Coturnix japonica: one gene and its partners. The protein of the gene in region 1 interacts with the protein of each later gene in a biochemical or structural test. Links are inferred from orthologs where the notes say so. Each region holds a gene or a part of one and is shown on either strand. Other genes may lie near its edges. The genes, in order: EPS15, SGIP1 and AP1G1.

What was found.
Region 2: the proteins of EPS15 (region 1) and SGIP1 form a complex in vitro, tested with the Homo sapiens proteins (2 studies listed by BioGRID, with this or other methods). The link is inferred for Coturnix japonica from reciprocal best matches to the Homo sapiens genes EPS15 and SGIP1.
Region 3: the proteins of EPS15 (region 1) and AP1G1 form a complex in vitro, tested with the Homo sapiens proteins (2 studies listed by BioGRID). The link is inferred for Coturnix japonica from reciprocal best matches to the Homo sapiens genes EPS15 and AP1G1.

What each region holds. Positions count from the first base shown.
Region 1 is NC_029523.1:21,504,546-21,508,192, reverse strand, and holds part of EPS15 (epidermal growth factor receptor substrate 15), read left to right. Parts: intron 1-1,137; coding exon 1,138-1,283; intron 1,284-2,176; coding exon 2,177-2,336; intron 2,337-3,647. UniProt on the Homo sapiens protein: Involved in cell growth regulation. May be involved in the regulation of mitogenic signals and control of cell proliferation. Involved in the internalization of ligand-inducible receptors of the receptor tyrosine kinase (RTK) type, in particular EGFR.
Region 2 is NC_029523.1:25,694,059-25,697,705, reverse strand, and holds part of SGIP1 (SH3-containing GRB2-like protein 3-interacting protein 1), read right to left. Parts: coding exon 3,622-3,647; intron 3,406-3,621; coding exon 3,349-3,405; intron 2,830-3,348; coding exon 2,775-2,829; intron 2,101-2,774; coding exon 1,925-2,100; intron 1,290-1,924; coding exon 1,278-1,289; intron 221-1,277; coding exon 209-220; intron 1-208.
Region 3 is NC_029526.1:17,657,030-17,660,776, forward strand, and holds the start of AP1G1 (AP-1 complex subunit gamma-1), read left to right. Parts: upstream 1-836; 5' UTR 837-1,137; intron 1,138-3,747. UniProt on the Homo sapiens protein: Subunit of clathrin-associated adaptor protein complex 1 that plays a role in protein sorting in the late-Golgi/trans-Golgi network (TGN) and/or endosomes.

The DNA of each region.
Region 1 (3,647 bases):
GGTCTGCCTATGTGAAAAGTCTTGATAAATGTTTTTTATTTCCTTCTCCTTGGCCTATCGATAATAAAGTTGAGGAGGGTGATGGGAAGACCAGATTAAGAGAAAGTATAATACGTAATTTCTTCAGATGTCTTCAAATATGAACAGTTGGATAAAAGTGTATTATTTAGTGAAGATTTTGAAGGTATTTTACAAATAAATTGTTTCAAAACATCTAGCTCAACCCAAAGATCAGAACACTTAGAAAACAGTTTAATCCAAGTATGTGCAGGCAGAATGTTTGTTCTGACTGAATACTGGTTTGAACATGGGCAGTTTTTAAAACAAATTGTGATAGGATTGTGTATGTACTTACATGTTGTCCAAGACTTTTAATCTGGCAGTTTACTTGACTGACTTAAGCCTGGGTAGTGTGTGTATTACAAAGCAGTGTATTCTGGATGAGTGTCTTGGTGTATATTTTTTTTTTAATACAGTACCATTTGAGATTTGTATGTGTTAAATGTCCTTGTACTTTTAAATTAATATCCACAAGCATGCATATATGCAGAAGCTGAATCAATTTTCACTCACCCTCCCCCCACCTTTTTATAGTAAATAGTGTAGTATTTGGAGAAAATGTTGAAGTAAGAAATGTGGCTGTAACTCCTATCTTTACCCTGGTAAGAACTTAAGACCTACAATTTAGAATGTCCCAGCTGTTATCTCTGAGCTTGACCCAGCTAAGGGTCTCCAGCTGTGTAAGGAGGAGTGAAGTTGATGTAGCTGGACTGAGTACAGTGGTGAGTGGAAAACCCCGTGCTAGGAGGAGATCTGGGCCCCAAGGGATACATCTATTGCATAGGCAAAGAGAGTATCAGAGCAGTAGTAGAGCAGTATCAGCCGACTGTTGTCCTTCATTGATACCAATGTTTTTACTTTTGGAGTGTCTTACAGATGCCTATACATGTCTATGTACTTTTATCTATGATAAAAGTGATTCATAAATGAGGCACCCGTATCACTTTCAAAATCTGTGCTGTAGTCCTTCAAATATGTAACTCTGAAAGTATATAACAGTCTGAAAACAGAACTGTCTTTATCTTGGCATTGTGGATTTTGTTTTTCTCTCTACCGCTCCCTCTCCCTTCTCTTCAGTGGGTTGTATCGCCTGCAGACAAAATTAAGTATGATGAGATCTTTGTGAAAACTGACAAGGACATGGATGGATTTGTGTCAGGTGTGGAAGCCAGAGAACTATTCCTGAAGACGGGACTGCCTTCTGCTCTGCTTGCACATATCTGGTAGGGATTATTTTTCCACGACAGCTGTTTAGGCGATGGCATGGTTCTTGCTTTTTCCTTACTCTTTTAGTGAAAAGTGCTAGGTCGACATTTATGGAAAATGAGGGCTATTTTCATATACAATAGCAAGGCCTCTGTATTAGCAGCAGTAATTTAATTTGCTTCTACTTTTGGATAGAAATAAAGGGTAAATTGGTTGATGCCATGAGCTGTTTCCTAGCTAAAGGAGGTAAAGAGCCTGAAGAGATAGCTACAAACCAATACTGCATTTAGCTAAATGCCTGTATATAAAGCACCATAATGTTGCTGTGTATTTGAAAACTGATAATGTCCATTTGAGAATTATCTGTATTAAATTGTTAGCATTCAAGACTCAGGGCCCATCTAATTCTGTGAATCATTTGTCTTTCATTATAACCTGTATATTATAGCCTGTAGTGACACCTACTGTGTGGTGGTATTGTTTCCAAATTTTTCTCCATTGTAAGCTATTGCGTGGTACTCTGATAGAAAAGAAACATTGTCTTTTTCAAAGTATGGTTAGTATAATATAGGAAATCTAGGAAAATGGTATAAACTGGTGTTGCTTATGGGGAGTTCTTCAGTTTAGCAAGTAAATTCAGCTACAGATATTTAGACATTGCAATTTGTAGGCCTAGTTCAGCCTTTTACCAGATTAATAATTACTCTAACAGAGCAGTGAAACTGTACAAAAAGAGGAAGTGGTTGGGTATGTTTCTGTATTTATTACCATGGTTTATTTGTGCATTACATTATTTTTAATAGAGCAGATATGCAATAGCTGTTTTCACAATTCTAACTGAAAGTACAACACGAAGAGTTAAGTTTGTGGAAATGAAGATTTTGTTTATTTCATGTGCATCTCTGTTCAGGGCACTCTGTGATACAAAGGACTGTGGGAAGCTTTCCAAGGAACAGTTTGCTTTGGCTTTCTACTTAATTAATCAGAAATTAACAAAGGGCATTGATCCACCTCAAGCTCTGACTCCAGAGATGATTCCACCTTCAGACAGGAGTGTCACATTACAGAAGGTAAGGATGGCTTTGCATGCTTGGTATACATTTCAAAGGCTGCACAGGAGGCCCATCAAGTACTGGCAAACATTAAGTTTGTTATAATATCAGGAAGAAAACAAGTATTAATTACAAATAAGTGACAAAGCACTGCTCCGTTTGTGTTTTGAATTGAAGCCGTCATTTATTGCGCTTGCCAACCAAGCAGAGAGATCTTATGTTGAGAAAGCACTATTTTCTATTTTAGAAGAATAATCTTTTTTCTGTCCTCGGAAATCTTAGTTTGCGTCAGAAGTAACATGCACAAGTTCTATGTTTTTGTCCTAATGTGCCTTTCAATTATCTTTTGCATTTCTTTTTTTCAGTAGCTCTCAAAATAATATGAACTAAATAAAGTTTATGTTTTTGAAGTTCAAGAAGTAAATGTCCACCATTTTATTCTTCACAGATAGTTTGAATGTCTCGATAGTGTCTTAATTGCCATCTGCCTTAATCGAGCAGTAGACCATACCTTAACAGTTCAAGTTACGTTTATCCGGATGGCGGGAGTCATGGCAAATTCTTACTTGGTTTACGCCTCATAGAGTTTTATGTTGGTTACCTTTTCTTGGTTGTGCAAAGCATTGTCCTGCCTCTGCACTTTCTTGAACAGAATGAAAAATCAGCAACTGAAAAACTAGAAACTCAGAATTTGGCCCTGCTTTTGAGTTTCTGTAGCTGGAATCTTATTTCTTTTTTATGTTCTATTTTAAAAAAGAGTAACTGCTTTATTTGCAACTCTACTAATATTTTTGTATGTTTGCTTTCCTTTCTATGTCTCTTTTCTAGTTTGGACTGTTTTTTCCATTCTGCACCACTCTGCTTTTCATCCTTATTATTCTGTCAGTTTGTTAACTCTGCTTTCTCAAGGTTAGAGAATCTTTGCTTTTCTAATATTTACTGTCTGTTGGTTTGATAATGAGCGTCCTTCTAAGACTCTTAAATAACCACTGAAATAGTGCAGCACTTTTCTGAAGCATCACAACTTGTTGCAGTCTCACATTATTACTGGTTTTCAGTGTTCTTCATCTGGAAGAATCTCAAGGTGCTTTGCAAATCTGAACTAACACAGTGTACATAATCTGCTTTTGTGCAGAAAATGATTTCTGGGTAGACCACTGTGGCTGTTATGTTTTGGCTACATGTACTGCTCAAGTTTACAAAAGAAAGTGCTTTGCATTATCCTGTTGGAATTGTTGAGGGAAGTGATGACAGTTGTAGCCCAATATTACAGATGACAGTTTCCATTAGGACTGATACCCATTTTATTACTGATTAAGTTTCAGAGAA
Region 2 (3,647 bases), about 4.2 Mb from region 1:
ATTGGAGGCATCCTCACCTTTGATGGACTGGGGACTGATGTAAGACAAATAATGCGTGGTCAGTGACCTAAAGCCCCGCTCTTGCCACACAACATGCAGCACCTGCATGCAGTACAAGCCCCCCACCCCCTCCAGAGCACTGCAGTATCACCACTTGCACAAACTCATGGCCAAAGGCAGCAAGGAAGGCAGCAAGGAAGGAGCTTACCGGGCTGCGCCGCTGCGGTCAGCGAGAAGGGAGAGAGAACAGACACCTGGTCAGAGAGGGATGCATCAGCACCAATGTGGCACCATGCCTGGACTGGCATCCCAGGGACAGGGAGCATCCCTGCTTGAGAACTTGAGGTTGGGACCCTTGGGATGCTCCTTCCCCAGCTTTACAAGCAGCCCCATGCTGATGCACGGCCATCTCTTTCTCTGCCTACAAGGAGGGCAGTGCCCATCCAGAGCTGCCCTCAGGGTGTTTATGGGGTTCCTCTGTGCTGCAGTGCTGCTGGGCACAGACCCCAGAATCCAGGCATGCAGCATGCTCCACACCTGCCCTCCTGATGCACTTTGATATTTTGGCAACTGAACCCCTTTGATCCTGATGCCCTGGGTCAGCTCCTGCAATGGAGCACAAGCAGAGGGGGAGCCTGGTACCTCCAAACAGAGAGAATTTGCCCAATTTGGGCTCAGAATGGAAGTCCTTATGAGGACAACATCACTGCTGCACACACCAGCACTGTGGTCACAAACCACAGATGCACTTTCCTGCCTTCCACTACATCCTGGTGCACAAGGACGTGAGCAGAACTTGCTCAGGGAAAGCTGTGCCCTCACACATCTCATCCAACACCAGCCCCAGCCTTCCCACAGAGAGCATGGAACGCCCCATGTGGACTATGCACATCTCAAGGAAACACAACCAGGCTCCTATCCACAGAATCATGGAACTGTTTGAGTTGGAGGAGACATTTGAAGGCCATCTGGTCCCAAACCCCACAATGAACAGGGACACCCTCAGCTCCATAGGCACTCAGAGCCCCATCCCTGACCTTGGGTCTCTGCAGGGATGGGTCACCACTGTCTCTCTGAGCTCTCTGTTCCACCCACCGAGTTAAACCCAAGGGTGAAGGACAGCAATGAACATCACACCTTCCAGAACTGTCTGATTTGTTATTTGCCTTTACGTTCTAGTTCCAGAGACATGCAGAACAGGTGCCAGGAAAGCAGAGCACACGAGTCAAGGCTGTATTAAAAGTTTGTAAGCAAAAAAAAAAAAGAGAATTTCTTACCGGACTTTTCCTCTAAAAGTATGCAGAAAAAAACAACAGAATAAAAAGAGAAAATCAGATTTCTTCTGTAAGGGGCTGACACAGAACTGAAAGGATTGCATCTGTGAGCAGAAGGCATCAGCTTCTCCCAGTGCCTTTCCGTGAGCTTAGTGACATTGCATTGATTTGGGAAGGAGAAATAAAATGAGGATTTTATTTCACCTTGGCTTCTATTTGAGACTGATTCACACCTCAGATGAGGGCTGAGGATAAACCCTGAACAGCTTCAGCTGCAGAGACTCCATAGCCCACTCTGAAGCCTATCAAAAAAGCAAAACTCGCAGATCTGTTCCCAGCAGAACAGATTGGGATGCGATGATGATCTCAACAAGCCTTATGAAAACCAGTGGGTAGCAGCATTCATACCAGGGAGCAGACATGGCTGCTCCTTTCAGACACCCCTGGGTGGGAAGCACCCTACAGCAGCACTATGGAGAGCCCCACAGACATTCCCCAGCTCAAACGTTGCTATCAATCCCCATCACCACTCCCTATGGATCCAGGTGACAAGGACCCAGAGCCAAGGTTCCTCACTCACACACAAGGGAAGGGGCTCCCTGGGCCAAAGCAAGCAAATAGGAATAGAGCTGGGGACATGGACAACTCACCACAGGGGATGGAGAAAGTGCAATGTTGCCTACGGATGCCTTCAGCTCATCCACCGTCGCCGCGCTCTTCAGGATGTCCTTAGCCTGCAGCGGTTTGATCTTGATGTTGTACTTTTTGTGGGCTTCTTCCTCCTCCTCAGACTCACTGGAGGAGTAGAAGTGCTTCCCTTTGGTGGGTGCAGCGCAGCTAAGGAAGCTTGCTTGGAGATCAGGAGCACCCACCAGCTCAGCAATGGGTCAAAACGTCACATCTCACTGAAAAACGGGAACTGAGCATTTCTAAAGCGCTCATCACTAACCTCAATGGCAGGAGCAGCCACAGGGACAAGCCTTCCTGCACTGCCCATGGAGGCAGGTAAGAAGACTGCTCTGCTGCAGCCCAGTAAGGTCTGTATTGATGTATGGCCATCCTTCCTCAGCTCTGATGGGGACAAAGCCCTCCATCAGCAGAAAGTGGAATCCTATTGTTCACTCACCCTCCTCCAGCTGTGAACAAGGATGCTATTAGCCCCAAGCTTGGCACACATGCAGCATGCACAGCCTGCATCCTTGTTTCCTCACCCCTTACAGAACACATTATGGATCTGTAGATCATAACAAAGTAGAGGGCATGAGGTTGCCCAGGAAAGCCTGCTCAAGTCATAGCATGGATCAAAGGCACTTAAACATGCCCCCTGCTCCACTACTACAGATAACACTCTCTGGGAGCTGGTTTGGACTGCAGAGCAAGAGCTCAAAGGAGAATAAAAGAGGAAAATAAGAAAAACCCATAAAGTCAGTGGCCTTTCTGTGAACCCCAGCTCATCTTACAGATCGTTAGCCAAGAGGCCAAGCCCACAACAAAGGATATAGCCTGGCTCCTCAGGCCGGATGCTGTAGCCCTCCTCATCAAGCTCTGGGGAGTTCTGCATGGGGCACAAAACAGGAAGGATCAACACTGCTGCTGGGGTTTTGTTGTTGTTGTTACTATAGTTTCCCACCCCCCCCTCACACCCAATTGCAAACCACATTTGTCTTTGGTTGGACCCAGTGCCCTTGAAGCACAGATTAGTGCTCTCCTCACCTACACAGGGAAGAGTAGCCCTTCACTTGGTCTCCTGGCTTCTGGACCATTTTATAAGCCTGTCTGCTGAATCAGTTCTCAAATCATTGATGCCACATGGAATCATTAAGTTCAGAAAAGTAGTCTGTGGTCATCCAGTCCACCCATCAGCACATCCCCCCCATGCCCACTAAACCATATCCCTAAGTAACCTTTCCTTTAAAAGAGAATACACATCAGTACATCTGTAATAATGTCTCTGAAGTCACTATTTCTGCTCAGTGTGCTTAAGCTTTGGAGCAGAGAGACAAGAGTGGGGCTGAGGGACATGGTTCACAATAGAGCATTGCCCATGGAAGGGGCAGAGCCCTCAGACACTTACGTATCTGTCCCAGTCGATCTCGGCATAAAATCCATTGGGGGCCCCATTTGTTTTCTTCTGTAACACATGGGAAAACAAGATTTCAACACTTAAAATGAAGGGGGGAAAAAGAGAACACGAATATACACATGTGCTTGCACATCTATGTGGTGAGACTCTACCACGACACAAGCTAAGCAAAGGCTCTTGGGGCTGCCTTTAAATCAACCCTTGGGTTTAAGCTTCCTTAACGATGGCAAGGAGCACCATGTAACCAAGCACCATGTTCCTTACCGAGTTATTTTTTCCTTGCTCCTGTG
Region 3 (3,747 bases), on another chromosome or scaffold:
CGCTCCCACCGCCGCCTCCGGCCCGGCCCCTCCCCGCGGCGCACGGCGATGACGCGCGGCCTCGCGCCGGAAGCGCCTCACGGGCCGGGGGGGTGGAGGGGGGCGGGGACAAGGAGCGGAGCCCGAAGCGTCCGTTACCGGGGAGACGGGTCCGGGGCGGTGCGAGACGGGAGGAGAGGAGCGGAGCGGGCTGCGGGGCGGGACAGAGCGCGACCGGCACCGAGCGGACACGGGGCGGGTGAGGGAGGCGGCCGTTCGGAGCAGCGCGGCTCAGCCCGGCCCGGTTCAGATCCCGGTTCGGATCCCGGTTCGGATCCCGGCCCGGTGCGGTTCAGGCTCTGAGCTCCGTCCCGGTACCCGCAGCCATATCCCGCCCCCCTCAGCCGTTCCCGTCCCGCAGCCCCCGGTCCCGCTCCGTTCCGTTCCTCCGCTCCGTCCCGTGTTTGGCGGCACTCGCTGTTCTTTACGGTGCCCAAAGCTCCGCGGGTTCCGGCGGCTCGTTCCGGCTCCTCACGCGGTGCCGCTCCGTGCGCTCAGCCCCGCCGTGCAGCGGCTCGTTCCCTCCCGTTCCCCAGAAGCCGCACGAAAAACAAAACAAACCGAACAAAACCAACCGGACCGGTGGGCAGCGCGCTCTGCCCGCGGCGCACGGACACGCCGGGCCGCGCTTTAACAGTGCCGCCCCACCCGGAGCGCACACGCGGGTCCCGTCCCGTCCCGCCCCGCCCCGCCCGCACACCGCGCACGTTCCCCGCGTGGCCCCGCCCCGTCCCCGCTCGGTCCGTAACTGGCGTCGCGCTGCGGGGCCGCCCCGCCGTGACGTCATCAGCGACTGCCACGGCATCTCGTTGCGCTGCTCGCGATGCGGAGCCTCGTGCGCTTCCGCCGGGACAAATAGTGCGCGCGGCCCGTTCCTCCCGTCCCGCCGCCCGCCGCCGCCCGTCCCGCTCCTGTCGGTGCCGCCCCGGCTGAGGCCGCCCGGCCGCTTTCCGGGACCGACGCCGGCGGATCCCGGGGGGCCGCGAGGAGCGTCGTGCCGTGCGGATCCCTCCGCCTGCGGTATCGGTGCTGAGGCCGAGCCGCCGCCATTTTGAATGCCCGGCTCCTGCCGCTGCCTCCGCTCCAGGGACCGGCCCGGTGAGTGCTGCCGCCCGCCGCCCCCATCCGCGCCGCCCGCCCGTTCTCCCGCTCCTCTCTCCGCTCCGTCCCCCGCTCCCGGCGGTGCCCGGTCCCGCTCTCTGTCGGCGTCGCCTCGTCCCGCAGGATCCCTCGGCCCGGAGCCTCGAGCCCCGCCGTGCTCGGGGCGCTGCCCGCCGTCCCTCGGCCCGTCCCGGCTGTGTCCTCCCGTCCCGTCCCGCGGCCCGTCTCGCTCCTCCCGCCCTCGCTCGGTTCCCGCGGGCTCCTCCCGTCGCTCTGTGCCGCCCGTTCGGGGCTGTGGGAGGCGGGACGGAGCGCGGCTCGCGGCCTTGTGCTCTCAGCCGCGGGCTCGGGCCGGGCCGCGCTCGGTAACGACACGCGGCGCCGCGTGGAGAACGGGGAGCGCGGCGGGAGATCCGCCGGGACCGGGCGGGCTGCGCTCGGCGGCTGGAAGGCGGCGCGGGGATCGGGGCCCTCTCGGAGCCTTCCCCGCTCCTCCTCGGGAGCCACAGGGCAAACCCTGCTCGTTTGAACGCTGGGCGTTGGTTCGGCAGCGGGAGGGCGGCACCGCCGTTCGCTTTGCGGGGCTCTCAGGGCTCCGTGCTGCGTTCGGTTCTGAAAGCTTGAAGCGAATGGAAAAATACGGAGTTAAATGGAAGCGCTTCCAAGGGCGTTTCACGTGCGGGACCAGAAGCGGCATCTGGCGCTCACCGCCTTAAGCAGCGCGGGGCGTATTTCTGTCTGTGCGATCCTCCATTCACCCCGTGTTTAAAATGACACATTGAAGATTTTTTTCCCTGTTCTTCATTGCAGTAACATCAATCTCGATCTTCCGTTCGCTTGTTTACTTTTCTTCCCCCTTTCTGCAGACTGTATTTTTCCTCTGCAGACAGGGAGCATTCCCATTCTACCACAAAACTTTTCCTTTTTCCTGCTTGTCCTGTCTTCAAACGGTGCATTTCGTTGGATGCCCGTGAGCTGGATGCAGGCGGGAGGCCTTGTTCCTCAGGGCACTGTGCAGGGTGAGCCCTCGCTTCTGCCGCGCTGGGAGGAGGAGAGGAACGAGCTTCAATTCCTGTGAGCTGACGGCAGAAAGGAGGGTCTGTTAGTGAGGCACCCAGCTGTCCTGGCCCTGCTGTGTAGAACAGCTTTCAGGTTCCTTTTTTATTTTAGTGTTTCTGATAGAGGGACATTCTCTTCTCTTCTCTTCCATTTCTTTGTTCCTGTGACTTTTAATCTGACCTTTCTTTTTTCAAGGGGCACCGTAATCAAAGCGGAGTTGGTCCGTACTTTTGGCACTGTCCTGGCCGATGAGTGAGTGTGACAGGTAGATCCTTCCAATCTTGATAGCCTGTTTGCAATAGGAGGTTTGAATTAGCGTCACTGTAACCTGATGAGATTGGTACATTCGTTTGTGGAATAAAAAGGCTGTGAGCAGCAGAAAGGAGCTGGATCTGTCTGTTCTTAGGCATGCAGACAGACTGCATGGGTTAAGGATTGGGAAGTTGCCTTTCAGAGCATAAAGGCTTCTGAAGTTGATGCCTCCTTTACATTAATGTTTTTGAGTTGGTGTTGTGCATCTTCAGACAGAGATGAGCTGTTTTGTTTAATAAGAGCGCAAAATCTTTGGTCTGAAAGCCATGTGAACTTGTTCTGGATCACACTGGGATGTTCTTTGAGGAAAACAGTCTCATCGATCATGATGGTTGTGTTACTTTATTGGATGATATTTGGTGTCACTAAACATACACAGTGCTGTTACTCAGAAAGAAGCAGTGCAAACGAATATCTGCTAATATCACTGCAGTTAGTGGCATTTGCCTTGATCTGGCACTTTGGAGATGCTGTAGATAAAGGTCCACAATGAGCATTTCCAGGCACCTGGCAGTACAGCACTTTGTTGTAGTGCAGTGTAGGGGAAGGTGTGTGGTTCAGTCTCGAAGCAGTGACACACGTGCTGCCCTGCCTGCGTGCTACCTGTGCTGCCTTTTGCTGTCCGTGTACCTGCACGTTGCACCATCACATCCTCTGCCGCTGCTTTTTCAGCTTCCGTTTTTAGGCGTGTTCCATGCTTCCTTCCATTCCCAAGCCCCCCATCTTTGTATAATGCAGACTATTCCGATTCCTTGTCTTATCATTCTCTGTCTTGACATTTCCTTTGCCTTAATTTCTTTCTGATATCCCTATGTTACTTATTTTCCACTTGTTATTTACCTGTGTTGTAGGAAATAGCTTTTTCTCAACACACGCTACGTTCCCCTTTGAATGTTGTATGGTTGGTTGCTTTTTAGGAACTCCTGTGTGTTGCCTTTGCCCGCAGTGATGATGGCAGTGATGATGGCTGTGCTGCTTGGTTGGGAGCGTGCTGTTTTCTGTATAAATATGGATGATGTTAAACATTGTGCCGGTATCTCTTTCTTCTTAGTTTTTCCTTGCCAGTCTGGTCTCTGTTTGTAGTGTTTTATTTCTCTTTTTACTGCCATTGTGCCACTTTCTTTTCAGGTGTCTGATGGTGTGAAGCCCCCTGGCAGTGTTGTTTGGTCTGTTCAGGTTAACCACTGCACGTTTTCCTTTTGCACAGTCTATCCAGACATACCTTCTGTTTTCTTT